Arabidopsis thaliana: one gene and its partners. The protein of the gene in region 2 purifies or fractionates together with the protein of the main gene of each other region. This does not show direct contact. Each region holds a gene or a part of one and is shown on either strand. Other genes may lie near its edges.

Region 1 (7,946 bases), on a different chromosome or scaffold from region 2:
TAAAATTGAACTTGAGTACATCTAGCATCACCTTAGTCTAACGTCAGAATACAAAAAAAAGATAGAAAGACTCTGGCAACTAAAAATCATTGATAAGCCAAAAAAAAAGTCGAGTAAATTTAGAATCAATTTGCAAATATAAGTAGAAAACTCATCTGAATCAATCAATGACATGTACTTATATCAATAACATGTACTCCAAACTCTCTCACCAATAAATGCTTTTATTAAAACACGGAAACAAAATCACCAGCATTCTAAACAATTTGAAGCTTGTACTCTCATAGGTAGTTGAGCAACCCAAACAAAAAACCATCCAATTGATTCATTGAAACTCTTTAATAACACTCAATATACAACAATTCAAACTTGAACTTGATAAATTCCCCATAAGTAAACGCTCTCAGTAGGATTTTTCACTCAAAATTTTATTGAATCTAAAGCAATGAACATAAGTGATTCACAGAGAAATACAATTAAACAGGAAAAATGGGACAAATACGAGTAAAATCGGGAATAAAACCCAAATTTAAGCAGCCGAAATACTTATGGAAATACTGGAAATCTTCACTAATGGTGTCAGTAATCACACGAGCTAAGGAGAATAACAAAGAGGAACCAATACTAGTTTCTCGTGGAGATCTGAGGATTGAGGAGACGAAACACATATCTAAACAAAACTATGTACATATGATTCAGGAATGAGGTAAATAAGGAAGAGACGTGAAACCTGCTTTCGTGAGCTCAGTTTCTACTGTGCCAGAGCGAGAGAGAATGAGAAGACGAGGAAGAAGATGGAGCAGAGAAATCGAGTTGAAGAAAACTAAGTAGAAGACGAAAATGATTCTCCTTATTTCTCGAATCTTTTAACTTTTGATTCTAGAAGCCACAATTAATAAAGGGATATAATATTTTAATTAAAGGTAAAGGTCCTCCTCTATATTAACTTGAAATGACAATTAAAAATTCGAGAATATTATGAACTCTTTTCTACAAAGTTGCAAATTGTTACCTTGTTATGTTCAATGCTCATAATCTTCCAGAATTGGTTAATGAAAACAAAAAAAGAATCAATTCTTTTTTTGGACGATGGAATAGAATAGAATCGCCAAAAGTAGAGATAGTGAATTAGATTCTATTCCTCTTTCATTGTTACAAATAAATTCGAAAAACAGCCACTTCTATATTAAGGGAACTCACATGTGTTTTTTACTACAAAATTTCAAAAGTTTGAGAATTTGAAGAGGTCGCTTTCTTTCAATATGCGTTTTTAGTTTTTACCAAAAGCTCTTCCCAAAACTCATATATGTGTTTTTTTACCAAAGGTTTTTCACTATGATACAACAGGCTCTCTATCCTTTAAAGGGGTCCAAAAATCTTTTTCCAAAAGAGTTGTGAAACAAATCTCTAATCTCATTCCAAGATAAAACTGGTCACTTTTACTCTTAAACCAAATGAAGTCAGTTTCTTTCCAGGGCTCTATTCTTCCTGCTGCTCATATATCTGCATGTATGCTTCCGATAGTTCTACCATCTGGGGAAGTGTCTCTGCAACATGAAGATCCTGCATCTCGTACCTGCAATGGACATTATCCCCCAAATGAATTTATATCTTTCTTATGCACAGATCTAGATCATGCATTTGTGAACATGAAACACAATAATAGTTAATGATTGAGAAAGCTTACCATAGTTCTTGTGACTTGCGCTGCACAAAGACTCTGAAGTACCCGTCCTCAGGCTTACCATCATGTACAATGTTAGCGATTAGATTATACTTTGAACACACATTCTCCCCTTCTGGTGCTCTAGGCAATGATGGTATGTAATCCCTCAGCTCCATGTCCTTCACTGGGAAGTTAACTGTGGCATAGAAAAAGAAATTGTATCAAATTAACCAGGTATTAGGGGATCCTTATACAGCATTAACGTCACAAAAATTTCAAACAGACTCACCCAATGTAGGGTTCTTCTCTTTGAAGAAGTTATTCTTCTTGAACCGAACCATATGGAACATCAAGTAACGAGGAGATTTGATTACACGGTATCTCATTCTGGCCAGCTTAGGCCGAACCACCTCTGTCACCGTTTCTCCATCAAACTTCTTCAATAAATCGAATAGAGCAACCTGACCCAAAAATCAAAGAAATTAGATTCCACTAACCTCACTTTGCAAACTAAACACTCTAAGACGCATATACGAGGTAGCAAGCCATAAAGGCTACAGGAGCTCCAAACAACCAATGAGTCAGAGAATTCTACACTTTCGCAAGTCATGAACTAGATTCGAAAAAGAAAGTTTACTCCAGGACATTAAATTGGCAATGGCACTATTTAAGAATCCCTTAATTGTATCTCAACCAAATGTGACATTATTTATGTAGCTGTATATTGAGAATCATAAGTTTTCTAGCACTCCACGTTATCATTTTTCTGAAATGCATTTTTTTAATGGCACAAAGTAGCAAGACTTTCAAGATTTGAAATAGCCATATACCTGCGGAATAATGTTTTTCTCCATGACATCTTTGAAAAGAGGAGGCGGTGGCAAATCTAGCCCAAGCATCAGAAACGGCATCCTGGAGATTTCTTTGTTTTCATTGCCTTGATACTCTTTCACAACCTCCAACTCACCCTGTAATGGTTAACAGGTTACATGAGATACAGCTTTTTTGTAAGAAATTATATCAAACTGCATTATGTTGACATTTCAAAGGACGGACACATACCTGGAAGCACTTGTGGATGATACTGCTAGCGTCCTTTGAAGTTCTAAGATCCATGTGCAAAGTGTTGAGGAGCCACGACATAAACTCTACTGGATCTGATTGTTGGCCAATCCTAAAGCGTTTCTTGCTGGCTTTCATGACAGCTTGCAAGAACTCATGTGGACTCACCTGTTGATGCAAGGTAACTTAAATTAGCGAGGTCCTCAATAGGTGAGTGCATAACAAAAACTAAAAAAGTGAGAGGCATAAATTGAGTCAGACTTGTCCTTTAAAGTTTCGAGCATGCCAAATCTTGCGAGTTAGTTCCCCAAAACGGTGACCAAGAGGAGACTTGCAGTGCTGATAATTTTCAGGAATGAGGAAGAAATTCCTTAGAGGAGTAACTCTCATCAACGACTGGATTGTAACATTCACAAACTCTGTCTTTTGTATGTTGTTCAACCCCACCTACATATTTACAAGCTTAACCTTTAGGAGACATTAATTTCAAGATCAAGTGTAATCAAAGAGAAAGGATTACCATTCCTGGAAGATAGTCGGAGCCATCAAGAGCCCTAGACCACTGCCTATTCTTGTCAAGCTCGTTTACTTGTGCTCTACTAAACCTGTAAATGGATAGCACCGAAGCCTTCATACAAAGGAACTGAAAAATCAAAGAAAAATTGACAAAACATGAAAGAAGAGTAATATGTTCAAGCTATCATGCAAAAAAATATAAATAGATGGTAGATGATACAGAGAACTAGTAAGAAGAAACTGATTGAGATAATAGTCAAAGCAATTTTGTTGTTGTTAACTACGTGCAAAGGCTCACATGTTCACAAATCAATACCCAAAATGCAGTAAGAACTATGATGTAGTTAGTCACAAGATCTAATATACCTTGGGTTTAAAACATGGCGAATGTCATCCAAAGAAGGGTCATTGATCTCGTAACTATCAGGAAGACAATAAACCTTCTCTGTCAGAAGATTGATGTAAACGTGGTGTCCTGCTTCCAAGCTATGTGTATAAGCATGAGACTTCTGGCTTCTTCCTTGAAAGTACTTCCCACAAACAAGACACGCATACACATTCAGATTTGACAATGAGACAGAGCAAAACCTCTCGAAATCAAAATCCAACACCTGAAATCAACCATAAGATATGAGTTTAAACGCTAATCTCAAACCAGCAATATAATGAACCTAGCAGAAGCTTAAAGATCCACCATAGATTAGATACATTACAAGTACCAAACACAAGAAATTGGTCAATGATATACCTGACGATTAACAGTATCAAGATAAGGACAATCACGACGAACTTCAACATGGCGTGAATGCTTTCCTCTCCCCTTCGAAGCATCATCATCATCATCTTCGTCGTCATCGACCTCTACTTGAGCTTCTCCTTTCACTTTGTTACCATTTCCCTCTCCTTTCGCAACTACATTACAACGAGTTTGCGATTTATTCTGCTGGTTATTATCATCATCGTAAGCATTAGCAAACGGCAAAAGAGGATTGTTGAAACCTAGTGGTGGAGGTGGCGAATCAGACCGTTCCATCACTCTCTTCCTCTTCACCTCTCTCTCTTCCTCAGAAACACCATTCTTCACTTCTCTTTCACCTTTCATTCTCAAAATTTTCCCTAAGCTAAAGCTTGCTTCAAAAACCTTAGAACACAAAATCCCAGCGATTCACGAAGAATCCTCAACCAAAGAAGCAATGAACTCTTCCAAAAAACGCCAAATACTTCAAATCAGAAGCGTCGACAGTCGCGAATCTACTCGAACTTATCTCTCGTTCCCAATTTTCTCGAGAAACTTCAAAATCCGCCACAACGCAGACGTTAAACAAACAACCTATTAAAGCTTCAAGAGCCGACTCAAGTCTCACCCAGATTGATTAACTCGGTTAAAAGGCCGAATATTTATTATTGGGCCACACTGTTATAGCCCAATAACAATCTGTTCCATTTATATTACTTCTGTCAGCAGTATTCAGTAATTGATCTGTATTCACGATCCGATACTTATCGAATAACCATTAATACCCTCAAGCTTCTCGAAGCAAACTATAAACGCGTGAAAATCTACAAGGACGTATTCGACATTCCACGAGTAAAGAGATGAGTTCTGAAGTTAAAGCCAGCTGGCGAAGAAGTAAAAAAGCAAATAGATTAGCCAAAATACGACAACACCCTCTACCTACAAGCCATAGATACCATGACTCATAAGGGCAACACCGACATTTGTCATCATTTGATAAATCTAACCAACCCTGAAGGGCATATTCGTCTTTCCAAATAGTTATAAAGAGACAGAGACGAAGAAGGAGAGAGAGAAAGAGACAAGATTAGAGAAGAGGATAAGAGAGAGAAAGATATAGAGAATTTGTTGTCTTTTTTTCTTTTTCTTTTGTGGGGTATTTGTTTTTTTTTTTCTCCTTAAAAAGTTTTTTTTTTTGTGTGTATGAAAAAAAAAGCTTTGAAATTCTCTCTCGACAATGGTGTCGGACCAGGATCTAGCGAAAGGAGTCGAGACTTTGCTTCGACAATCCGACCCTAGCTCTCTCACATCGTTAAGCAGTATTGTTCAGCAGCTTGAAGCTAAGTTAGGGTTAGACCTCACGGAGAAGACGACTTTCATCAGAGATCAGATCAATATCCTCCTCCGTGCTCACCAAAACCCTTCTGCCTCCGTCGCCTCCGCTTCATCCGTACAACAATCTCACCCTCCTCCTCCGCCGTCTTCTCACCAGCAGCAGAATTTGCATTCCGGCGTCAATGTTCCTCCGATGGCGAAAGGGCATTTCACACTTAGCCATCCTTCGCAATTCTCTGTTTCTTCTCAATCACAACAATATCCTTCACATTTCGCTCTTCAGCCTCCTTATCACTCTTATGACCTAAATTTCCGGCAGCCTTATCCGGTTTACATGCCGCCGCAACAGCACCAGCATCAGCAGCAGTCTCCGCGACAACAACAATCCTCTGTGATGCTCTCACATGGCGGGAATGCTTCTCTATCTGTTAATCAAGCCCCAAAAGAAAGGTAGGGTTTGCAACATATTTCAAATGTTGGTACGTAATTTTGCTCAAGGTTGTTCCAATTTCAGTAATTTAGGGCTTTTGCTACTTTCATGGAAAACATGATTTTCCATTTTAGGAATGTCTAAATCTTTTGTCAATTTTGTTCATTTACGGGTTTTTAGGTTTTACATGCTCATGTTTAGAATTATCATCCTGTGATATTTTTAGCACATTGATTCATACAACGTTCTATTATAGTGTGATTATTTCTTTCTGATCTACCTAAATTTGGCACATCAACGAAATTTGTCAACTTTTCCTTTGCAGTGCTCCGGCTGGAACTAAAAGAAAGGGTGGTCCTGGAGGACTAAACAAAGTCTGTAGGGTTTCTCCAGAACTTGAAGTAGTTGTTGGTGAACCTGCTCTTCCTAGAACTGAGGTTATCATTGTCTTTCATTTATGATTATAATGTGTATAAGCAATTGTGGTTGTTATTTATGTGTTGCTGTGTTTGGCTTTTGGTTTTAGATTGTGAGGCAATTGTGGGCTTATATAAGGAAGAATAACCTTCAAGACCCGAGTAACAAGCGGAAGATCATCTGTGATGATGCGTTGCGTGTGGTTTTTGAGACTGATTGCACTGACATGTTCAAGATGAATAAGTTGCTTGCTAAGCATATTCTCCCGCTTGATCCATCAAGTAATGGTTAAACACAAGCGTTTTTTGCTGAGTTCCAACTGTGCTTGGTTTGTTCAAGGTTACTGACTGTTTGAGTCACTTTTGGCAGAGGACTCTGGTCAAGCAAAAAAGGCAAAAACTGAGGTGGAGACTAAGACTGAGACCACCGAGCCTATTAGTTCAACTGCTATTAGTTCAACTGTTACATTATCTGAGCCACTTGGTAAGTTCTTTGGCACTGGTGAGACGGAGATGGCAGACGAAGAGATTATTCGCCGTGTTTGGGAATACATAAAACTCAACAATTTAGAGGTAATGATTTTAATCTTGAAATCCTCTGGTTTCTCCTTATTGCTTCGAATTTTTTTCCTGTTTGCTGCTAACTAAAGCTGGTATTGTGGTTTACTCTATAAGATAATTTACAGTATAGGATTTCACATAACTTTATGTTATAGAGCATAGTGAATGGCCATAAACAAGAAAATTAAGATTTGTTTATTCTGCTTTTCAATTTTCTTTCAGGACCCAGTAAATCCAATGGCTATTCAGTGTGATGAAAAGCTCCGAGATCTTCTTGGATGTGAAAGCATTTCAGCTGTGGGGATAAATGAGATGCTGAGGCGCCATATGTACAAGCAGTCGTGATATCTTCTGGTCTGACTTAATTAACTAGGAACTACTAGTGTAAGTGAAGTTTGATTTAACAGATTATGATACTTATATATCAGCATTGTCCAAATATGGTAATTGACTTCTGTATCACAACTCTCTTGCAGGTGTGTATCTAGGGAACCTACTTATGACTCCTTGCTGTAGAACTCTGATAGGGAAGAAAAGATCCTTTTCACTTTTAACTTCCTTTAATGCTATTTTAATCTTCCGTTGGGTTCTTTGTTTTAGTTGGTTGTGTATCGACATGCTTAGGTTGATGTTGTATTTAGTATTGTACCGAAACTCTAGTGTTAAGGGTGAAACGGCGCAGATGTTTTGTATTAAACGCCATTCACCCATGAATGTCTTAGGAAAAAAAAACTCATGTGTTTAACTATGTTTTCCCTGTTGGAAATATTTGCATCCTACTGATAGAAAAATCTTATTCCCTATGCTATGGTTTTTTTTCCTGCTATCTTCCATGTTATTTGCTGTGTTTTTATCAGAATCTCAGACGTGTGACGTAGAAAGCGGCTGCAGCAAGCAGCAGAAGAACAAGTAGCAGGAGTGCCATTGCTTGTCTCCTTGTGTTTTCTGCTTGTCTCAAGAAAGTGACTATCTTCTCAGCAATACTCACTGCAAACGCCATAGTTCTCTGCATCAGAAGACAAATGAGAAACCACAATAGGTAAGTAAGTGAATCACATGATGACATAAATCTTATGAACATGACAGACTCACTAGTCTTAGGTGCTCTATGTGGAAAATTGGTTCCATGAACATCTCCACATTCCTGCATTGTTTGGTTTAAATATGGTCATGATTCACGGGTTATAATTGTTATGATAACTGAATTTAGAGTGGAACGAATAC
Region 2 (7,809 bases):
TTACTACCCGTCGTCACAAAGCGTTTGGGATTTCGGAGATTTAGCGGCGGCGGAGAGGCATTCTTTAGGGTTCATGGAGTTATTAAGTTCTCAGCAGCATCAAGACTTTGCTACTGTTTCTCCTCATTCCTTCCTTCTCCAAACGTCTCAACCGCAAACGCAAACGCAACCATCGGCGAAGCTGTCTTCAAGTATCATTCAAGCTCCACCGTCAGAGCAATTAGTGACGTCAAAGGTGGAGTCTTTGTGTTCGGATCATTTGTTGATAAACCCACCGGCGACTCCTAACTCGTCATCGATTTCGTCTGCTTCAAGCGAGGCTCTAAATGAAGAGAAACCGAAAACAGAAGACAATGAAGAAGAAGGAGGTGAAGATCAACAAGAGAAGAGTCATACTAAGAAACAGTGAGTTCTTAAAATTTCTCACTTTTTTTTTTGTTGAGTCCAGAAGCTGTTCGATAAAAAGTCTCAGAGACAAAAAAAAAAAGAAGTATCCTAAAGAAAGCATTTTTAATGAACAGGTTGAAAGCAAAGAAGAATAATCAGAAGAGACAGAGAGAGGCAAGAGTCGCATTCATGACAAAGAGTGAAGTTGATCATCTCGAAGATGGTTATCGCTGGCGAAAATATGGTCAAAAAGCTGTCAAAAACAGTCCTTTTCCCAGGTATCAGCAAATATATCCATATCCTTTGACCATAGTTTTACAACAACAAGAAGAAAAATCAAATCTTTTTCCTTGTTGTTTTGTTTCTTCTTTTTTGATTTGCTCTTGGGTACATGCACTATGTTAATTTGTTGGATCTAGCACTGTCCCATTGTTTCTTAATGTTTGGGTGTTAGTGTTTACTAATTAAATTTACTACTGTTTACAGTGTCCAAAGAAAGACTTAATTGTGAACCAAAGTTGATTTTGTGTAAATGGTGTTTCGTTTGCAGGAGTTACTACCGTTGCACAACGGCTTCATGTAACGTGAAGAAGAGAGTGGAGAGATCATTCAGAGATCCAAGCACTGTGGTTACAACCTACGAAGGTCAACACACTCACATTAGTCCACTCACGTCTCGTCCTATTTCCACTGGAGGTTTCTTCGGATCGTCAGGAGCTGCTTCGAGTCTCGGTAATGGTTGCTTTGGGTTTCCTATTGATGGCTCCACGTTAATCTCTCCTCAGTTCCAACAGCTTGTCCAATACCATCACCAACAGCAGCAACAAGAACTCATGTCTTGTTTTGGAGGAGTCAACGAGTACCTTAATAGCCACGCTAATGAGTATGGTGATGATAATCGTGTGAAGAAGAGTCGAGTTTTGGTTAAAGATAATGGACTTCTGCAAGATGTTGTTCCGTCTCATATGTTGAAGGAAGAGTAGTAGTATATATATAGTCTTATAGTTTTAATCTAGTTTTTTTTTGTATAATTGTCTAAAAGAAACGGATCTTTTGTTCTGATGAAGAAGATGTTTTCTTATGGTTCTGAAATCGTAAGGTAATGATGATTGTACCAAGCCGAGAAAGTACTTGTGATTTTCACCATTGAATCACTATAAATGTAATTTTTATTTACTGTGAACTTATATTATAAATGTGTGAACTTATAATTTATAACACAAAAATGCACCAGATTCTTAAAAAAAATATGTGGACTAGTAAACATGATTTTGTAAATATTAGGATTGGCAAAAACTTCTTAATCGCATAATAATAATTTGTCGTTTTGTAAATTACTGATCGTAGGCGATTTACAACAATGGTCGTCTTTTAAAATTTGTTATGGGCTTTGCATGAACACTATGTCAAAGCTAGGCTTTGTAGTTCGTGTTTTTTTTTTTAATTGAAAACTTATTTGATCTATGATTCTAATATAGTAGCCTTCTAGGGTTTCAGGTTAATCAATCTCTCTCTAGTCAAATACACAGTCAGTTAATTGTTTTTTGTTTGTTTCGCTTCGATATATGTCTTGGAATCTGGAAAAATTAACTAGTTTCATAGTAATCAACAAGATTAATTAAGCGAGATAACTAAAGAGGAAATTAATGCGAAACTGGAAGCATAAACCCAACTACTTCTACCTACTCTTCTCTATGTTTCTATCGACCCTTCATGATTTCTCTTATTTATTTTTAAAACTTTATTTACCCCTTTTGTTCTTGTTGCTGTTTCATGATTACACTGCGGTGAAGAATAAAGACGTATGCACTGTGTTATTGTTGTTAGCTATTTTCAATTATTTAAAAAAAAAAATTCAAAACAAAGGAGAAAAATTTGTCACTCTCTTCACTAATTTTAGTCTTCTTTTAAAAAGGGTTTGGTTAAAATGGTTGTGAAACAGAGCAAATACCAATCATAGCTTTGTGTCATCCCCAAAGGGCATAGACTTGTGGCCTTGTGAGAATAAAGTAGAGAAACAAGTTACCATGCAAATAAACTTTTTTTGTTTCCTTTTTCTTTTTGTTACTTTTGTAGCCATGTGTGTGTGAGAAAATGTTCTACATAACAGAACAAGGAAGGAAAAACAATCTTATGAGGTAATATCACTTTTTTGTCTTTTTGTCTAGTGAGTGCATAGCAACGCCATTGGCTTTAGTATGTTTGTATTGACCTTTACGGTGAGTGATAATCCCTAACCGAAGAAGGTACATAATCATTGTCCCAAACAAAGCCACGAATGCAACCGAAAGCAAACGTACCAAAACTCTCGATGGCTTAAAAGTAAATGACTAAAAGACAAACTTAAGAGACCCATTGTATCAAAGAAAACAACTAACAATTTTGCTCATCATGTCTCCAAGTTTATTCCACTTTCAATATACATTTGTTAGATCCAAAAGACTCTCAAGCCGTAACAATATCATTGAAGAAATACTTATTTTACCTTAGCAGTTTTGAATCAAAACGACAATAGCTACTAAAGAAGAAGAAGTCAATGAAGGTATTCAAACCCTGATGTCAAACTCAACCTTGGGGTAGTAAATTTCGAATTAAGTGACGATCAAATTCGCAGTCTCAAATGCTTTCTATGCACTTCGTATTGCAAATGCAATGCTTAAGGATACCCTTAATTCTATTTGCGTCAGTCCACTTTTTTTTTTTTGTTGTATTTTGTTTAAGTGGTGTAAGTGTTTTTTTCTCTTTCTATTGTACCATATCCATCCTTGTCAAAGTAAGAGGAGGCTGGAGAGGTTCTTTGTGATCAATAATCAAAATGCTAGTGTTTTTACTTTTTAACAAACAAAAAAAGAATGAGAGAGTCAGAAAAATATATTCAGAGAAACATGGGCTTTACATACATAGGTCGGCCCACAAGGGAACTTAACGGGCCTTGGTGCCTAAAACAAATATCAAAAGAGACAAAAGGGGTTAACCTGAAAAGTCCTCGCGCCGCTGCTTATCGTTGAGCCTAAAATCTATCTGTCTCTCGTTTTGTTCGTTCGTAATGGGTACAGAGAGAAAACGGAAGGTTAGTTTGTTCGATGTTATGGAAGATCCTTCTCTTTCGTCGAAGAACACCAAATCCAATGGTCTCGGACTTGCGGCGGCGGCTGGTGGTGGAAGCAATCTGATCAACAAATGGAACGGAAAGGCTTATTCTCAGAGGTATTTCGAGATTCTGGAGAAGAGGAGAGATCTTCCCGTTTGGCTCCAGAAAGATGACTTTCTCAATACTTTGAACTCTAATCAAACTCTCATACTCGTCGGTGAAACTGGTAGTGGTAAAACTACACAGGTAGCTCAAGCTTTCAATTTCGATTTTGGAATTAGTGTTTAGTGTGATCCAACATAACATTTCATTGTATTCTACAGATTCCACAGTTTGTATTAGATGCTGTGGTGGCTGACAACTCCGATAAGGGAAGGAAATGGTTGGTTGGATGTACCCAGCCTCGTAGAGTTGCTGCAATGTCTGTGTCTCGTCGTGTTGCTGATGAAATGGATGTCTCCATTGGTGAAGAAGTTGGTTACAGTATTCGTTTTGAGGATTGTACTAGCTCTCGTACTATGCTTAAGTGAGTGTTTTTGTTCTTCTTTCTTTGGCTTCTCAGCTTTATAACGTTTCTGTTCTGATCATAACCTTTCTCTCCTGTTATTACAGGTATTTGACTGATGGTATGCTTTTGAGAGAGGCAATGGCGGATCCGCTTTTAGAGAGATACAAAGTTATTATTCTCGATGAAGCTCATGAAAGGACTCTAGCCACGGATGTGCTCTTTGGTCTTCTCAAAGAGGTCTTGAGGAATAGGCCTGATCTTAAGCTAGTTGTCATGAGTGCAACTTTAGAAGCTGAAAAGTTTCAGGAATATTTTAGCGGTGCTCCTCTTATGAAAGTCCCTGGTAGGCTTCATCCTGTTGAGATCTTCTATACACAGGAACCTGAGAGGGATTATCTCGAGGCTGCTATAAGGACTGTTGTTCAGATACACATGTGCGAGCCACCTGGAGATATTCTTGTTTTCTTAACTGGAGAGGAGGAAATAGAAGATGCTTGCCGTAAAATCAATAAAGAGGTCAGCAATCTTGGAGATCAAGTGGGTCCTGTCAAAGTTGTGCCTTTGTATTCTACTCTTCCACCTGCGATGCAGCAGAAGATTTTCGACCCTGCTCCAGTGCCGTTAACAGAAGGTGGTCCTGCTGGACGAAAGATTGTTGTCTCAACCAACATTGCTGAAACCTCTCTAACCATTGATGGGATTGTTTATGTTATTGACCCTGGTTTTGCTAAGCAGAAAGTCTACAACCCACGGATTCGAGTTGAGTCATTGTTGGTGTCCCCAATATCAAAGGCAAGTGCTCACCAGAGATCAGGTCGTGCTGGTAGAACTCGCCCTGGAAAATGTTTTAGGCTCTACACAGAGAAGAGTTTCAACAATGACCTGCAGCCACAGACATATCCTGAGATATTGAGATCAAACCTTGCAAATACAGTCCTGACATTGAAAAAACTTGGCATTGATGACTTGGTGCACTTTGATTTCATGGATCCTCCTGCTCCTGAGACACTGATGCGGGCATTAGAGGTTCTGAATTATTTGGGAGCACTTGATGATGAAGGTAACTTGACAAAGACGGGTGAAATAATGAGTGAATTTCCCTTGGATCCACAAATGTCAAAGATGCTCATAGTCAGTCCTGAATTCAACTGTTCCAATGAGATTCTCTCGGTTTCTGCAATGTTATCAGGTACATCTTCTACTCGTAAGTATGGTTTGTCTTCTCCAAAGTTCATTATAGATGTCGGTTTACTTGAGCGTACTATGTTTCACTTCACTTGAATTTACGGAAATAAGTCTGTGTGTATGTGAACGCATCTATAAGTATGTCATACACATGAACATCTACTGCATCCCATGTGTCTTCTTAAAATTCACTAGTGTCTGTGTTTGCCATTCAATTTTAATCTTAGAGTTAGGTTGTCATAAGCAGCTCACTAGTCACTAGTTTGGGGTCTCCATGTCCATGGTTGGGGAGTTCTAAGTAAAACCTGATGCATCTAGTTGCAGTTTCTCAGTATTCTCACAAGCAAATGGTATCGTCTCTCGCCTCTATGCATCTGCTGACCTCTTCCATGGGCATATTCTGTTATAAAAACAATTCTTTCTCTAGTACCGAATTGCTTTGTCCGGCCTAGAGAGGCTCAAAAAGCAGCAGATGAAGCTAAAGCTAGGTTTGGACACATTGATGGAGATCACCTGACGTTGCTAAACGTGTACCACGCCTACAAGCAAAACAGTGAGTTATTTTTTCTCTATCTGCAACTTTTCTCTTATAGCTGCTTAAGACAAATGAATTTACCTCACCAACCCTGCTCACTTGAAATTCTCATAGATGAAGACCCAAACTGGTGTTTCGAGAACTTTGTCAACAACAGAGCAATGAAATCTGCAGACAATGTCAGACAGCAGCTAGTGCGGATAATGTCGAGGTTTAATCTGAAGATGTGCAGCACGGATTTCAACAGCCGCGACTACTATGTCAACATAAGAAAGGCCATGCTTGCTGGTTATTTTATGCAGGTGGCTCACCTAGAACGCACTGGCCATTACTTGACCGTCAAAGATAACCAAGTATGTCTTGTTTTTTGCATTCTGTTACAGATTTTGATTTCCCGATTATAAAGAGATCCTTATAGCTTACATCTGACGGGTTGCCTGTAAATTCTGGTGGCAGGTGGTTCACTTGCATCCATCTAATTGCCTGGATCACAAACCAGAGTGGGTGATTTACAATGAATATGTCTTGACTACTCGGAATTTCATACGCACTGTTACAGATATCCGCGGTGAATGGTTAGTTTCCATCTCTGGTTCCTGTTATCTCTTGTTTATCAACATCCGATGGATTAAAAACCGAATATCTTTGCTTGTATATAGGTTAGTCGATGTTGCTCAGCATTACTATGATCTTTCCAACTTCCCCAACTGTGAAGCAAAACGAGCCCTCGAGAAGCTTTACAAGAAGAGAGAGCGGGAAAAGAACGAGAGCAAGAACCGGAAGTGAAGAAAATCACTCTCTTTGCTTCGACTAGAGGATCAAATCACTCAGAGAAGAATGTCTTAGTCACAAGACCACTATGATTTACCCTCGTCTTAAATTATGATGGATACTTTGCTTTGTTTATGTTCAATGAAAGAATCTTGCATTACTCAAAGTGTGTTCTTTTAAAACCTCTGTTTGGCAACTCTATATAACAATGTTTCTGATAATCTCAAGTATGAGCTTCAGTCCAGCTGATAGCGTCTTGCTCTTCGCTCTGGTCCTCGTGATCAATCTCCTCAACTAAATAACACTAATTGACCAGCCCTTCCTAAAGAGATCCACCATACATGAATAATCCTCCTTTTCTGCAGCCATCCCAAACCCACCCACCCATCAGGCCATCAACATGAATTGCTTTTCCCCTTCAAATATAGTCAGTTTTTAATTGACCCATTGCAGTTTGGTAACCATCAAATTAATTTAAATTAAATTGTTGATTTTTATGCACCTATCATAGAACTAGTTCAAATTTCCGGAAATAGAAATATAAACAAGCATATCGCCATCAAGTTTTATAATGAGTGAATGATGATCTTTTTCTTGTCTCAACTGATACAAACTTTAACTTTGTTACCACTAGAGAAATATCATCAAGGATTACACATCATATGCTTTCACCTGAAAGAGGTCTTTGTCCTACAAAGTTCACTCCTTCCTCTGCCCTCATTAGTGCCAGATCATCAATAAGAATAGAATTCATCATGCTACCTCGTGAATTCTGTGGTAAACAGACTTGCATTTGTATTTTATCAAACAAAAAAGGTTCCCAAAAAAAACAGATCTGCAGTAATTTTCTCAACCATCTGAATGCTAACACTAGTAGTCAAAGCAAATTCAAACTTCAATATGAGCTTGAAAACACACAATCTCAGATTTTCCTAATAACCAACTAAGTAATTAAGTTCACCAGGCCAAAGGCCATAACCAGTTTCCCATTTGGTATCACAGAGAATCCTTCATACAATCTGTCACAAAGTCTTGAGGTAACCTAATATACTAAACGCATACGAATCACTCTCCAGCTCGTAGCGCTGAGCCGATCAAGAGAACTTCTTCGTATACTTCCTTGTACGTTTTCCACATATACGGTCCAACCTAAACCGATCCATACAAATATAGAAATAAAACAATATGTACAGAGAGTTTTAATCAGTAACCAGAACATACATCATATAGATTTGTATTAAAGTTGTTGTTGTTGTCACCAATTTGATAGAATGCATATTGTTGGAAACGAAGTTATGTATACAAATTTATTTTGACCAGAATGTTCTCTCT
Region 3 (6,988 bases), on a different chromosome or scaffold from region 2:
AATACCTCTATATATATGGATGGTATTTTTTACTAACTAATATCATGTTAAAATTTTCAATTGAGTGTATAAAACCTTCAAGACAACTAATTATACTATCCTATATACGCATGGGCCAAGGTGGCATACATTTTCTTATAAAATATAAAAATATGTTACCTTCTAAAAAATACCCTTCTACTATATACTACCGTAGAACCTACAATGATCATCATGACACATTAAGTAATTACGGCCAAATAAATAATCGAAAATAAATGAACGGTGCAAGTCCAAGGCTTTTTTCTTGTTCTAGGGTTTAGAGGGAATTTGCGCATGACTCGTGTTGTATATCCATTTGATGAGAAGATATATTTCTTCACAACTTGTCCCATAACCCTAATCATTACAAAAATTCCCTATGAATTAAACCACGTGGGAAGTTTGTTCCTTTTGTCAGTTTCTTGTCCCATGAGAAAAACTTGTTACATGTGAAAACACTTCCATGTGAAAGATTCTACCATCTTACTTATTGTTTGGTTTGATCTTACCACTAGTGATGATGTACAGCTAGCCAACGTACAGCCAGTGTTTCAAATCGGCTCGTTAGTTTTAGGGTTACATAGCGCCGAACTTTTTAGTTTTTTGAGAAAAATACTCAACTTCAGATGATTCAGTACCGATTCATATATGACCAATTTTCTTAGATTTGAGTCTGGTTAGACCAAATCCATTACACATTTACACCCCGTCGCTTTTTTTTGTTTTGTTGTTATAGATATGCCTGAAGTTGCTTTCTGAATGGCCACAAAACTGAAATGATCAGATCAAATATGAATGTTTATAAAACAAGATCAAAATCTGGATGGATCGATCCATAGAATCTCATGGCGTCATTTCCATGCCAATTGCCAAAACGAGCCCGGACTAAGTAACACCATTGTGACATTTATATTTATCAATAATGGTTATTTGTATTATGTGTTACTACTTACTACTAGTAAGTTACTAGATATCCAATCTCCGAAAATAAGTTCTATGTAGTTTTAAATGATGCATATATATATGCGAGACAAAAAATGTTGCATGTAAACAAAAAATGCTGATTATTGTGAAATATATTAATTATTTTTTTTATTTTTTTGTTATGAAGGTCATGTTAATTATTTTAAAGACTTTGTTTCAAATAAAATAAAAAATTAATTTTAAAAAATCATATATTTGGTATTACAAATTTTTTGAGGTAATAGTTGTAGTTGACTTTGTAAATAATTTACCAAAAAAAATTATGTTTGAAGTGTACTCTGCCCCAGTAAATAATATTTAGGGCCACCACTATCTATATTATTCAATAAATAAGCGCACATAAAATTCTAATAATTACTTTTTTCTTAAATCCATAATAATTAGTAAGCTAATTATCATTAATAATTATACGTAACAATAGTCTAAATGCATGGCTTTAATCACTATACCATGCACCAAACGACTAATTATTTCATGCGATATGAATCATTGAATACGAAAAATTACTGGAAGATTTCAAATCGACGAATACTAACTCAACAAACTCAACTAATAATGACCTTTAAACAGTTTGGATTATAAATTTATTACCCAATTCAAGAGATAAACAGTAAACCCAGTGACAAGTAGATATCTGAAATTTAAATTTTTTTGAACGGAATTGTTTTTTTAATTCATAGGAACAATTTTTTGGAACATCAATCAGCATATATATGGGTTTTTTTGGGGTCAAATTCAACAGCAAGCATGCATATGGTTTATAAACTTTATATATATGATTTTATTGTCAACCTTTTTTTTTTGGACAAACTGGTTTAATTGTCAACCTATAGATGATATTTCAAGAAAGACTGAATTCTATTTTGAGTTGACTGTATGAGTATGTATGAGTGTAAAAGTCAGCCATTTTGCAGAAACAAATATGCACATCGACGACGACCCTCATGATTTCATAGTTGGCCAGCTCAAGCCGTGTGTCAAATTATTACAAGTTACATTTATTATATTTTCGTTTATATATGCTTTAGAGAATGTAAGATGTAAATGGAAATGGGAGATATGATTGCATTTTGGTTTATATGTCTTCTTCGGAACAATAATACGAAATTATAGTAGTAATCATAAGATAAAGAAATTAATGAACAAAAATTTAAAAAGACTCATATTAAAATAAAGAGGGTAACAAAAGATAATGAAAATAACTCTCTAGATCTAAGCATGATGTGTCTATATACACCGACATTTTTTTCTTTTAATTAAGTGTATTGAAAATAAATTAAATAAGCCATGATTTTGATTTTGCAGTTTCGATTTTGATTTTGATTTTATTTAAAATGCTATATATGAGCCTGGTAACAGGAATGGTCGATGCAGTTTATTTCAATCTCAAGAGCTTACATGTGAAATACACAACTCAATAGCTTTCACTATTTCTTGAACGAAATTGACGAACAAGTAACAAAAAGAAAAATCGAACCGGAGAAGAAATCGTTGGTCTACCAATAACCGGAGTCTCCACGACAGTACAAAACCGACACCGTTTCTTAGTAATTTTATTCTTAAGATACAATATAATTTTATACTCGTATCCAAACAGTCCACACACAACCCCAAAACAAAAGTAAGAAAACTTGTAGACAAAAGTAAACAAAAGTAAACAAAAGTACGATAACAAAACTCTATACTCGTAGACAAACTTCACCGAACGTATTTAGCTAAAGAAAACTTGACCTCAAGATTTTCTTGTCTTCTTTAATCCAGGTGCTTGTAACTATGATTCCATATTACTAAAAACATGCATGTCTCCTTAGCAAAGAAAATCACAAGTAAGAAATGTATCATAATGATGAAAAATGCTATGAGACTGGTAACAAGAAATGGGTGATGAAAACAAATTCAATCTCAAGCAACAGTTCTCACTTAGAAGTGAGATCAGTTCAGGAGCTTTCACTATTTCTTAAATGAACTGAAGAACAAGTGAATACAAAAACAAAATCGAACCGGAGAAATGAAACTCTAAACAATGGAACCGGTGAATAAATCGTGGGTCTGCTGATAACCGGGATTTCCACGACAACACAAAACGACATCGTTTTATAAGATTCTTTATTATTAAACGTAACGAGGATAATTATAAACCCGGACAAATATCCACTAACAAATTCTATCCTCATATCCAAACAGTCCCTCAATTTCTCAAAACCCCAAACAAGTGTTCTTTTCTTATAGAGAGTAGTCTCCCAAGAAGCTGCAGAGACTTGCAAAAATCTCAGATTCAAACAATGGCAGAAGAAGCTAAAGCTAAAGGAAACGCTGCTTTCTCTTCCGGTGACTTCACCACGGCTATAAACCACTTCACCGAAGCCATAGCTCTTGCTCCAACCAATCACGTCCTCTTCTCAAACCGTTCCGCTGCTCACGCGTCGCTTCATCAATACGCCGAAGCTCTCTCCGATGCGAAAGAGACGATTAAACTCAAACCGTATTGGCCTAAAGGTTATAGCCGTCTCGGTGCTGCTCATTTAGGGTTAAACCAGTTTGAGTTAGCCGTCACTGCTTATAAGAAAGGTTTAGATGTCGATCCGACTAACGAGGCGTTGAAATCTGGATTGGCTGATGCGGAGGCGTCTGTTGCTAGGTCACGAGCTGCACCGAATCCGTTTGGTGATGCTTTTCAAGGACCGGAGATGTGGACGAAGCTTACGTCTGATCCTTCGACTAGAGGCTTTTTGCAGCAGCCGGATTTTGTTAACATGATGCAGGAGATTCAGAAGAATCCTAGCAGTCTTAATTTGTATTTGAAGGATCAGAGAGTGATGCAATCTCTTGGAGTTTTATTGAATGTTAAGTTTAGGCCACCGCCGCCTCAGGGAGATGAGGCTGAGGTTCCTGAGTCTGATATGGGTCAGAGTTCTAGTAATGAGCCTGAGGTTGAGAAGAAGAGAGAACCGGAGCCTGAACCGGAACCGGAGGTGACAGAGGAGAAGGAGAAGAAAGAGAGGAAGGAGAAAGCTAAAAAGGAGAAAGAGCTTGGGAATGCTGCGTATAAAAAGAAGGACTTTGAAACTGCTATTCAGCATTATTCTACTGCTATTGAGATTGATGATGAAGACATCTCGTACCTCACAAATCGTGCTGCTGTTTATCTTGAGATGGGAAAGGTATGATTTTCATATGTGTAATGCTCTTTTGTTTTGTCCCTTTATTTGCTGATAGGCTAGAAGCCTAGAATGATGATTTGCTTGTTATGTGCTACAATGGTGATTAGTTTTTAATGTCATTGTGTTTTGATTCAGTACAATGAGTGCATTGAGGATTGTAACAAGGCTGTGGAAAGGGGTAGAGAGCTTAGGTCAGATTACAAGATGGTAGCTAGAGCTTTGACTAGAAAAGGGACTGCTTTGACTAAGATGGCCAAATGCTCGAAAGACTATGAACCTGCCATTGAAGCTTTCCAGAAGGCTCTTACAGAGCACCGTAACCCTGATACGTTGAAGAGACTTAACGATGCGGAAAGAGCAAAGAAAGAGTGGGAACAGAAGCAATATTTCGATCCTAAGCTAGGGGATGAAGAGCGTGAAAAAGGTGATTGCTTTAGCAATTAGTCTCTTTTTTTTTTTTTGTGTGTGTGTGTGTGTGTGTGTGTGGGAAAAGAAAGCTTATAGAACCCTGAAAACAAGAATGAATTAGCGTTTTTACTGCTGCTGTTGTGGTGTATTTAATACAGGTAACGATTTCTTCAAGGAGCAGAAGTATCCTGAGGCCATAAAACATTACACCGAAGCAATCAAAAGGAACCCAAATGACCATAAAGTAAGGGCACTTCATCATATTTATATGTTCTTAAGGTCTTCTACAATGATTTTCTATTCCGACTGTTTGAGCAACTCGTACTTTTTTTGCACCTATGTTAGGCATATAGCAACCGAGCTGCTAGTTACACTAAGCTAGGTGCAATGCCTGAAGGACTAAAGGATGCAGAAAAGTGTATTGAGCTCGATCCAACCTTCTCTAAAGGATACAGCAGAAAAGCTGCAGTCCAATTCTTCCTCAAAGAGTACGACAATGCGATGGAAACATACCAAGCGGGTCTCGAGCATGATCCTAGTAATCAGGAACTTCTTGACGGTGTTAAAAGGTATATACACAGATACACAGAGATTATTAACTTTTCTATCTATTGCCATGAATTTGTTTAATGTGGTTCAAATCTATTCTGCAGATGTGTACAACAAATCAACAAGGCTAATCGCGGAGACCTTACTCCTGAGGAATTGAAAGAGAGACAGGTTAGTTACATTCTGATGATTCTCATGTTTTCTCCCCCCATTTGTGATTGAAAGAAAACCCGGGAAGCTAACTTGGATTTCTCCTTTTCTTTTGTGTAGGCAAAGGGAATGCAAGACCCAGAAATCCAGAACATCCTCACAGATCCTGTAATGAGACAGGTAAATAAACAAACTCTGTCGTAAATTGTGATTGTATGAGTATGATGCAATTTTTGTTTGAATCGAGTTTCTTATTACCAATGTTACTCTGTTGTGAGATGTCTAGATAGATCTAACTATGTTTTTACGTGTTGGTTCGAGTTTGCATGTGATAATACCTCTTAACATTCTAAAACCTTTCTTCCAAACAGGTACTGTCTGATCTTCAAGAGAATCCAAGCGCAGCACAGAAGCACATGCAAAATCCAATGGTTATGAACAAGATTCAAAAGCTTATTAGCGCTGGGATCGTCCAGATGAAATAAACTCAGAAGAGTTGAAACATCGAATATCCGTTTTGGCAGATTCATTTTTTCTCTTATATCTTTGCAATCTGCAACAATTCTAGATTTGTGACCGGCTGATTTCCCATGTTTACTGACGTTGTGTTCCGAACAAATTGCAATCATATTTTCTTCTGATATAACATTTACTGCGATCCTTAAAGTTATGTTGCTTTACATCTCTATACCATTTGGAGCATAAGAGAGCAAATGGCTAAATACACAACGACTTTGTCATTCACAAAATTTGAATCATTTCATTGCTTCAGCTCTACAAATTGCTACCGCACATAACTAACTTGCCATTCAGGTCCAAAGAACTTGAAAAAAGGTAAGAAACGGAGTCTTGTGGCTTCGTTGTCCCATTCAACCCTTTCAAGCCATTCTTCCTCTTGGTACTTAATGACAAGTTCTTCATCCCTTATGGCAATTTCAGAATCCAATGGAAGCTTTCTCAGCTCAGGACACTTCGTTATGTGAATTGTCTTCAGACATGGAAAAGACAGAGGTTGCCAGTAGATGCTCCTCAACATCGCTAGATTGTGTAGGCGTAGACTCTCTAGTTTCTGGAAAGGAATGATACCACTCATAGTCATAGCTTTCTCTTGGTTTATTATTCCTTCTACTAGTTCCGAGTCCAGAACCTCGAGACTAGTGAGGTTAGGAGCGAACAACAACCACGTCAAATCCTTCAGACCATCACAGCTACTTATATGCACAGTGGAGAGGTTATGGAGGAATTGAGTTTTGGGACTTCTGTTCGATGATAATGATAAAGTTTTCCTCTCTATCTTTATCTCACACATTCCACACTTCCTTATGATGACTTTATTGAGATTATCCATATCTGGCAAAGTCAATACTCCGGATGATTCTTCCTGAACTCCTCTAAGTACTAAGATTTGAAGACATTTCACCAACCTGGGAGCATTTAACAACTTCTCCACTACCAAGCTTGACTTGATACTTATGTTTAGAACTTCTAAATGTTCTAATAGCTGCAACTCCTCCACTAAGCTCATGTCTAGCGACATTTTAGACTGTAAAAGTTGCAATTTCCTCAAACTTGATATATTTGATATCCCTGAAATACTCTTAAGTCTCTTCATGTAATCCAATCTCAAATATCTGAGCTTTTTCAACTCTTGTAGACCGACAGGTAGCCGCTTAATGTATGTCCACGACAAGTCAAGATAACGCAAGGAGACTAAC
Region 4 (6,989 bases), on a different chromosome or scaffold from region 2:
CCTGATCCCGTCATCAAGGTAGCGATTGAGCCAAAAACAAAAGCAGACATCGACAAAATGGCGACAGGGTTGATCAAGCTCGCTCAAGAAGACCCGTCTTTCCATTTTTCTCGTGATGAAGAGATGAACCAAACCGTCATTGAAGGAATGGGAGAACTTCATCTCGAGATTATCGTTGACAGACTTAAAAGAGAGTTCAAGGTAAAACATAACCTATAAATCTAATTCTCTACTTCAAGCTTCCAAGCTTCTAATTCCTTTTCATCTTTCAGGTGGAGGCTAACGTTGGTGCACCGCAAGTCAACTACCGTGAGAGTATCTCCAAAATAGCTGAAGTGAAATACACACACAAGAAGCAATCAGGTGGACAAGGTCAGTTTGCTGATATTACAGTCCGGTTTGAGCCATTGGAAGCAGGGTCAGGATACGAATTCAAGAGTGAGATCAAAGGAGGAGCTGTGCCAAGAGAGTATATTCCTGGTGTCATGAAAGGACTTGAGGAGTGTATGAGCACCGGTGTGCTTGCTGGTTTCCCGGTTGTTGATGTCCGTGCTTGTCTAGTTGACGGATCTTACCATGACGTAGACTCAAGCGTGCTAGCTTTCCAGCTTGCTGCAAGAGGAGCTTTCCGTGAAGGGATGAGGAAAGCGGGTCCGAGAATGCTTGAACCTATCATGAGAGTTGAAGTTGTTACACCAGAAGAACATCTTGGTGATGTCATTGGTGATCTTAACTCACGAAGAGGTCAAATTAACAGCTTCGGAGACAAACCCGGTGGTCTCAAGGTATGTTTTATTCAAAATGATCGAAAAAACCCCTAAATTGTTAGATGATGAAATCTGATTTTGACATTGTTGTTCTTATTATTGTTAGGTGGTCGACTCTCTGGTTCCATTGGCAGAGATGTTTCAGTACGTGAGTACATTGAGAGGGATGACAAAAGGTCGAGCTTCTTACACAATGCAACTGGCTAAGTTCGACGTTGTTCCTCAACATATTCAGAACCAACTTTCATCCAAGGATCAAGAAGTTGCTGCTTAAACAGATTTTGTTTTGCCTAGACATAAAAACTTATTGTGATTTTGTTTGGTCTATATAGACATGTAAGCTAATCAAATTTGTGAAGACAAGGTTGTTATTGTCTTAAAACGCATGGATATGAGAAAGAAAGAAAAATTGATATATCAGAAAAGTCTGAAAAATGAGAAGAATTCGATCTTAGTGTTTGGAGTTATAAAAGAGTAATGACTCAGCAAAATCGAAATCAATGTCTTGGCTTCGTTTATTTCATCTGGACGATTCCTGAGCTGATAAGCTTTTGGATTTTGTTCATGATCATTGGGTTCTGCATGTGCTTTTGTGCTGCTGCTGGATTCTCCTGGAGATCAGACAGTACCTGTCCAAAGAACAAGTGTTAGATTTTGGTGAGACATATCAACATGGAGATAGCTCAATTTCAGTTTCCAGGATTGCTCCGAGATGTTTGATCTAAACATAGAGAGATTTGTGAATTCTAACATCATCTATAGAAGTGTGTTCTTTACCTGTCTCATTACAGGATCTGTGAGAATGTTCTGAATTTCTGGGTCTTGCATTCCCTTAGCCTGCAATAAGGACGAAAGCAAATCCCAAAAGTTTTAGTTTAAGATCACAGGTTTCTCTTAAACCCGTAACAAAGCAGTTTCAAAGCAGTAATAGAATCTAACCTGTCTTTCTTTCAATTCCTCAGGAGTAAGGTCGCCACGGTTTGCCTTGTTTATCTGTTGTACACATCTGCATGGTTTAAAACATGTTACATAAGCATATTGACATTACTAGATAACAGAAGCGAATAATCTCCCCGTGACTTAACACCTATTTATATAAATACCTTTTAACACCATCAAGAAGTTCCTGGTTATTAGGATCATGTTCGAGACCCTTCTGGTACGTTTCCATTGCATTGTCATACTCCTTCATGAAGAACTGGACTGCACCTTTTCTACTGTATCCCTTTAAGAATGTTGGATCGAGCTCGATACATTTCTCTGCATCTTTTAATCCTTCGGGCATTGCCCCCAGTTTAGTGTAACATGCAGCCCGGTTGCTATATGCCTATGTGACGAGCAAAAAAGTAAACAAGTTATTAAAACAGTCAAATACGGAACTCTTTTTGAGCACAACATTGAAGGATATATGATGATGAATCCGCCTTACTCTCGGGTCTTTTGGATTCCTCTTGATCGCTTCAGTGTAATGTCTCACAGCATCAGGATACTTTTGCTCCTTAAAAAAGTCATTACCTGTGTTACAAAGATGTTAGTTCAGCTACATTTACTGAATTCTAAGAGATTCTTCCTCGCACAAACAGCACATACAATTGCAAAGTATATACCTTTCTCACGCTCCTCATCACCGATATTAGGATCATAGTACTCTTGCTGCTCCAACTCTTTCTTTGCTCTCTCTGCCTCATTCAGTCTCTTCAATGTTTCAGGGTTACGATGCTCCGTAAGAGCTTTCTGGTAAGTCTGAATCACAGGTTCATAGTCTTTCGAGACTTTAGCCATCTTCCCTAAAGCAGTTCCTTTCCTAGTCAAAGCTTTAGCCACCATCTTGTAATCAGACCTAAGCTCTCTACCCCTTTCAACAGCCTTATCACAATCCTTGATACACTCATCATACTAAAACAAAACACATAGACATTAAGACTCATAACCTAACCAAAGCAAATCACTTTAGACTAGCACACAAAAAAAAAAGAACACTTTGAAAACTATACCTTTCCCATCTCTAGATGAACAGCAGCACGATTAGTGATATAAGAGATATCTTCATCATCAATCTCCATAGCTGTAGAGTAATGCTGGATTGCAGTTTCGAAGTCCTTCTTCTTATACGCAGCATTCCCCAACTCTTTCTCCTTCTGAGCTTTAAGCTTCTTCTGCTTCTCTTCTCCAAACTCCGGCTCAGGCTCAGGCTCAGGCTCAGGTTTTCGTTTCTTCTCTACCTCAGGCTCCTTCCTAGAAGGCACAGCCATCTCTTCCTCACCAATCTCCATATCATCACCAGCCTGTTGAGTCCTGATTTGAATATTCAACAAAACTCCAAGAGCTTGCATAACTCTCTGATCTTGCAAATAAAGATTAAGATTACTAGGGTTCCTCTGAATCTCCTTCATCATATTAACAAAATCAGGCTGTTTCAATAACCCTCTAGTAGAAGGATCCGCCGTCAATTTCGACCACATCTCCGGTCCCTGAAAAGCATCACCAAACGGATTGGGCGCGGAAGCGCGTGACCTAGACGCAGAAGCTTTCGCATCAGCTAAACCTGATTTCAAACCTTCGTTACTTGGATCAATCTCAAGCCCTTTCGAATACGCCTCCACGGCTTCATCGAACTGATTTAGACCTAAGTGAGCAGCACCGAGACGGCTATAACCTTTTCCCCAATCTGGTTTAAGTTCAACAGTCTTCTTCGCGTCTGAGAGAGCTTCGTCGTAGTGATTAAGCGATGCGTGAGCAGCGGAACGGTTTGAGAAGAGAACGTGATTGGTTGGTGTTAGGTTGATTGCGTCGGTGAAGTGATTAACGGCGGAATTGAAGTCACCGGAGGAGAAAGCTGCGTTTCCTTTAGCTTTTGCTTCGTCCGCCATAGTTGAATCTGAAAATTTTCTCTTGCAGGTCTTCTCGTTGCTTCTGGAAGATACCTTGAGGGGCTAATGGGTTTTTGGCTTTAGGCGAATAAATACGAGTGTATATATATTTGTTCGATATAAGAGTGTTTGGTTTCGGGTTAATACTATCCTAATCACGTTTATTCATTAAACAGTTCTTTACATAAAAACGTCGTCGTGTCATTTTATAACAAAACCGACTTCCTGTTACACTGTAGCAGAACCGACGTCGTGTAATAACATTAGTGGTTTTATATTAATCGACGACGTATTTCTCTACATTGACCCAACGCTTCTTCTCCGGCACGATTGTTCAGAGTTCGATTTCCATTTTCGGGTCGAAAGGTTGATTTTATTTGGATTTTGGATGGTAGATTCAGTTCCTAAACATAGGAAACTTGAATCTCAGAGTTTTTCGAGTTAGGGTAAGGTGTTTTTTGCTCGTTTCGTTATTGTTGGACGACATTAATGGTTTCCAGCGATTTTACATTACTAATTGGAAAGTTTCTGTGAACTTTAGTGATCTCATTTGTTATCCATGTGTGATTATTGGGTTTATGATTGTGTGTTAAGCAATGTTGAAAAGTTCTCATTTTGTTTGTTAAATACCAATTCCAGTGCTTTGTCCACCAAGTGTTTGTGTTAATTCCTGAATGAGTTTAACGGTTCACAAAACCTCTGGATTAGTGAGAATTATTCAGTATATTTATTTGAAGTGGTGATAATTGGAGGATTTTCTCTTGTGTTTGTAGATGAATTCTGTGTTACTGTTTTATAATGGAGTGATAGAAGAAACCAGAGTTTTTCATTGTTTTTATGAACTGATCTTGTTTGTGGTTTATATGGTTGTAGGATAAGAGAAAGAAACACAGTTGGAGTTATACTGATGAATGGAGGAGGCTCGAGTAGTTTGCGTTCAGCATTGTCCTATTGTGTGCAGCAAGTACGAAACTATGACTATCATCACTACCTCTGTCTCCTTGAACTCCCAACTGAGATGCGTAAAGCAGCATTTGCTCTCCGGGCTTTTAATGTAGAAACCGCAAGAGCCATGGATGTTGCATCTGATCCCAAAATCGGCTTGATGCGGTTACTTTGGTGGCAAGAAGCAATTGACAAACTCTACACCAAAAAGCCCATAAACCATCCAGCTGCACAAGCTCTGTCTTGGGCAATATCAGAACATAACATCAGTAAACCTTGGCTAAAACGCTCAGTTGACGCTAGAATCCGAGATGCCCAAAGAGAAGTAGACGATATACCAGAGAGCATTGCGGAGCTAGAGAAATACGCAGAAGACACAGTTTCCACTCTTCTGTACAATACACTCCAAGCAGGCGGAATTAGTTCAACAACAGCTGATCATGCAGCTTCACACATTGGTAAAGCCAGTGGTCTTGTCTTGCTGCTTAAATCATTACCGTACCACTGTACCAGAAACCGTCACCAGAGTTACATCCCTGCAGATCTCGCTGAGAAGCACGGGTTGCTCGTGAAACAAGGTGGACGATTAGAAATTCTTCTGGATAACGATTCAAGAGAAGGACTAAGCAATGTCGTGTTTGAGATTGCATCTGTTGCCAATGCACATCTCCTGAAAGCCCGTGAACTGGCGGGAAAGGTTCCTGCAGAAGCTAAACCGGTACTGCTTCATTCTGTGCCGGTACAAGTTCTTCTGGATTCGTTAAATAAAGTACAATTCGATGTGTTTGATCCCAGGATTCAAAGAGGAGTTCTTGGTGTTCCTCCACTCTTGTTTCAGTTTAAACTCAAGTGGTATTCATGGAGAGCAATGTTTTGAAAACTTGTCTTTATCTCCCTTTTCTTGCCTCTTTTATTTCTGGTTTCAAAGACTTTACATTAAACTCCAGCTTACTTGTATTTCTTTTGTAATAATACAAAATTACAAATGGTGATGAATACAAAATAAAGAATTTGTTTTTTACTTACAAATAATATACAGTTTTCATATGTTATAATGGAAGAAGCCCATCTTCTTGCATTTTTCTGTACAACAAATCTGATTTATCCCATTGGCGTTTCCTACAAAAGCCTGAGATCATCGTAGTGTAGGACACAACATCAGGCTTAAGTCCTTTGCAAGAAAGGCTACGAAACAAGTCCCACGCATCTTCAACATTACCAATCTTGCACATCCCGTGAATGACGATATTATAAGTAGTAATATCAAGTTCTATTTCACTCTTTTGCATATTCTCGAATAACACCAATGCTTTCTCTACCCTCCAGTTCATACAAAGCCCATACAACAAAATGCTGTACGTCCTAATATTGGGACGAGAATCCATCCGACTGAAAATTTCTTGCGCCGCATCTGGTCTACCCGCTTGAAAATAGCCCTGGATTATAGTGTTGTATGTGATAGTGTCACCAACTAATCCTCTTTGAGCCATCTCGCGGAAGAGTTTCGTTCCTTCATCAACCCTCTTAGACTTGCAAAACCCGTTAATGAGAGTATTATAAGTCACTACATCGGGGAGACAACCCTTAGTTACCATCAAATCAAGCATTTGTTTGGCCTCATCTACCCGACCGTGCATACAAAGACCGTTGATCAACGAATTGTAAGTGAAAACATCCGGATCTACACACCTTCGTGTCATCTCCTCGTACAACTTCATCGCCTCCGAAAACTTCCCTTCTTTCACAAACACATCGATCACCGCAGTGAAAGTAATGACATTAGGAACAATATCCCTCATTACCATATCTCTCATTAGCCGAGCTGCATCACTCCATCTACCAGAACAACAAAGACCGGCCACAAGAGAGTTATAAGTAACAGCATCAGCTCTAACCCCATCTCTTTCCATCCGATCAAACAGCTCCACCGCGTCATTCACCAACCCGATCTTACAAGAACCGTCGATGATCGTGTTGTAGATAACAACATCTGGTCTAAATCCCATTTCCTCCATTTTACTAACCAAATCTATAGCATCAAAAACTCTATTCCCTTGACAAAATCCATTAATCAAAGAACTAACCGTGACAACATCAGGCTCGTAACCAAACTTCATCATCTTCCCAACAACAGATAAAGCAATAACAAATCGAGAGCATCGACATAAACAATTAATCACAATGTTGTAACTATAAAGATCATGACCAATTCCACAAACTTCCATATGGTGAAACAGAGAGATCACAAGATCGTAATTCTTCGATTTGGCGATTTTACTCAATACTTTACTGAAATCAACTATTGAAGGAAGAGGACGAGATTGAATCATTTTACAGAACAAATCAATTTCTTCTTCTAAATTCATACTCGATCTCTTAGTAGAAAAAGTTCTTCCCCAGAAACGGC

Evidence for each region.
Region 1: the proteins of AT2G47250 (region 2) and AT4G22350 fractionate together in Arabidopsis thaliana (co-fractionation; one large-scale study listed by BioGRID). This does not show direct contact.
Region 3: the proteins of AT2G47250 (region 2) and Hop1 fractionate together in Arabidopsis thaliana (co-fractionation; one large-scale study listed by BioGRID). This does not show direct contact.
Region 4: the proteins of AT2G47250 (region 2) and Hop2 fractionate together in Arabidopsis thaliana (co-fractionation; one large-scale study listed by BioGRID). This does not show direct contact.

Annotation. Positions count from the first base shown.
Region 1 is NC_003075.7:11,802,594-11,810,539, forward strand, and holds AT4G22350 (Ubiquitin C-terminal hydrolases superfamily protein), read right to left. Parts: upstream 4,825-7,946; 5' UTR 4,347-4,824; coding exon 3,993-4,346; intron 3,856-3,992; coding exon 3,611-3,855; intron 3,334-3,610; coding exon 3,249-3,333; intron 3,176-3,248; coding exon 2,990-3,175; intron 2,897-2,989; coding exon 2,729-2,896; intron 2,635-2,728; coding exon 2,497-2,634; coding exon of another isoform or gene 2,473-2,496; exon of another isoform or gene 2,128-2,472; coding exon 1,956-2,127; intron 1,863-1,955; coding exon 1,688-1,862; exon of another isoform or gene 1,577-1,687; coding exon 1,480-1,576; 3' UTR 1,238-1,479; downstream 1-1,237. Other genes in the region: CDS2 (cytidinediphosphate diacylglycerol synthase 2), read right to left, coding at 1-28; AT4G22360 (SWIB complex BAF60b domain-containing protein), read left to right, coding at 5,218-5,765, 6,071-6,182, 6,272-6,443, 6,532-6,734, 6,945-7,067; AT4G22370 (uncharacterized protein), read right to left, coding at 7,576-7,728, 7,815-7,866.
Region 2 is NC_003071.7:19,398,606-19,406,414, reverse strand, and holds AT2G47250 (RNA helicase family protein), read left to right. Parts: upstream 1-3,370; 5' UTR 3,371-3,433; coding exon 3,434-3,724; intron 3,725-3,801; coding exon 3,802-4,004; intron 4,005-4,090; coding exon 4,091-5,175; intron 5,176-5,598; coding exon 5,599-5,724; intron 5,725-5,820; coding exon 5,821-6,059; intron 6,060-6,162; coding exon 6,163-6,281; intron 6,282-6,365; coding exon 6,366-6,492; 3' UTR 6,493-6,767; downstream 6,768-7,809. Other genes in the region: WRKY23 (WRKY DNA-binding protein 23), read left to right, coding at 1-405, 522-665, 938-1,370; AT2G47245 (long chain acyl-CoA synthetase), read right to left, coding at 7,543-7,626. UniProt on the Arabidopsis thaliana protein: May be involved in pre-mRNA splicing.
Region 3 is NC_003070.9:4,168,818-4,175,805, forward strand, and holds Hop1 (stress-inducible protein), read left to right. Parts: upstream 1-3,217; 5' UTR 3,218-3,287; coding exon 3,288-4,166; intron 4,167-4,301; coding exon 4,302-4,590; intron 4,591-4,732; coding exon 4,733-4,818; intron 4,819-4,919; coding exon 4,920-5,143; intron 5,144-5,227; coding exon 5,228-5,294; intron 5,295-5,393; coding exon 5,394-5,453; intron 5,454-5,644; coding exon 5,645-5,758; 3' UTR 5,759-5,913; downstream 5,914-6,988. Other genes in the region: SUMM2 (LRR and NB-ARC domains-containing disease resistance protein), read right to left, coding at 6,058-6,988. UniProt on the Arabidopsis thaliana protein: Mediates the association of the molecular chaperones HSP70 and HSP90. Mediates nuclear encoded chloroplast preproteins binding to HSP90 prior to chloroplastic sorting.
Region 4 is NC_003070.9:23,227,674-23,234,662, reverse strand, and holds Hop2 (stress-inducible protein), read right to left. Parts: upstream 3,742-6,989; 5' UTR 3,638-3,741; coding exon 2,762-3,637; intron 2,664-2,761; coding exon 2,375-2,663; intron 2,283-2,374; coding exon 2,197-2,282; intron 2,095-2,196; coding exon 1,871-2,094; intron 1,774-1,870; coding exon 1,707-1,773; intron 1,605-1,706; coding exon 1,545-1,604; intron 1,397-1,544; coding exon 1,283-1,396; 3' UTR 1,120-1,282; downstream 1-1,119. Other genes in the region: SCO1 (Translation elongation factor EFG/EF2 protein), read left to right, coding at 1-201, 273-785, 874-1,041; AT1G62730 (Terpenoid synthases superfamily protein), read left to right, coding at 4,545-5,459; NG1 (Pentatricopeptide repeat (PPR-like) superfamily protein), read right to left, coding at 5,632-6,989. UniProt on the Arabidopsis thaliana protein: Mediates the association of the molecular chaperones HSP70 and HSP90. Mediates nuclear encoded chloroplast preproteins binding to HSP90 prior to chloroplastic sorting.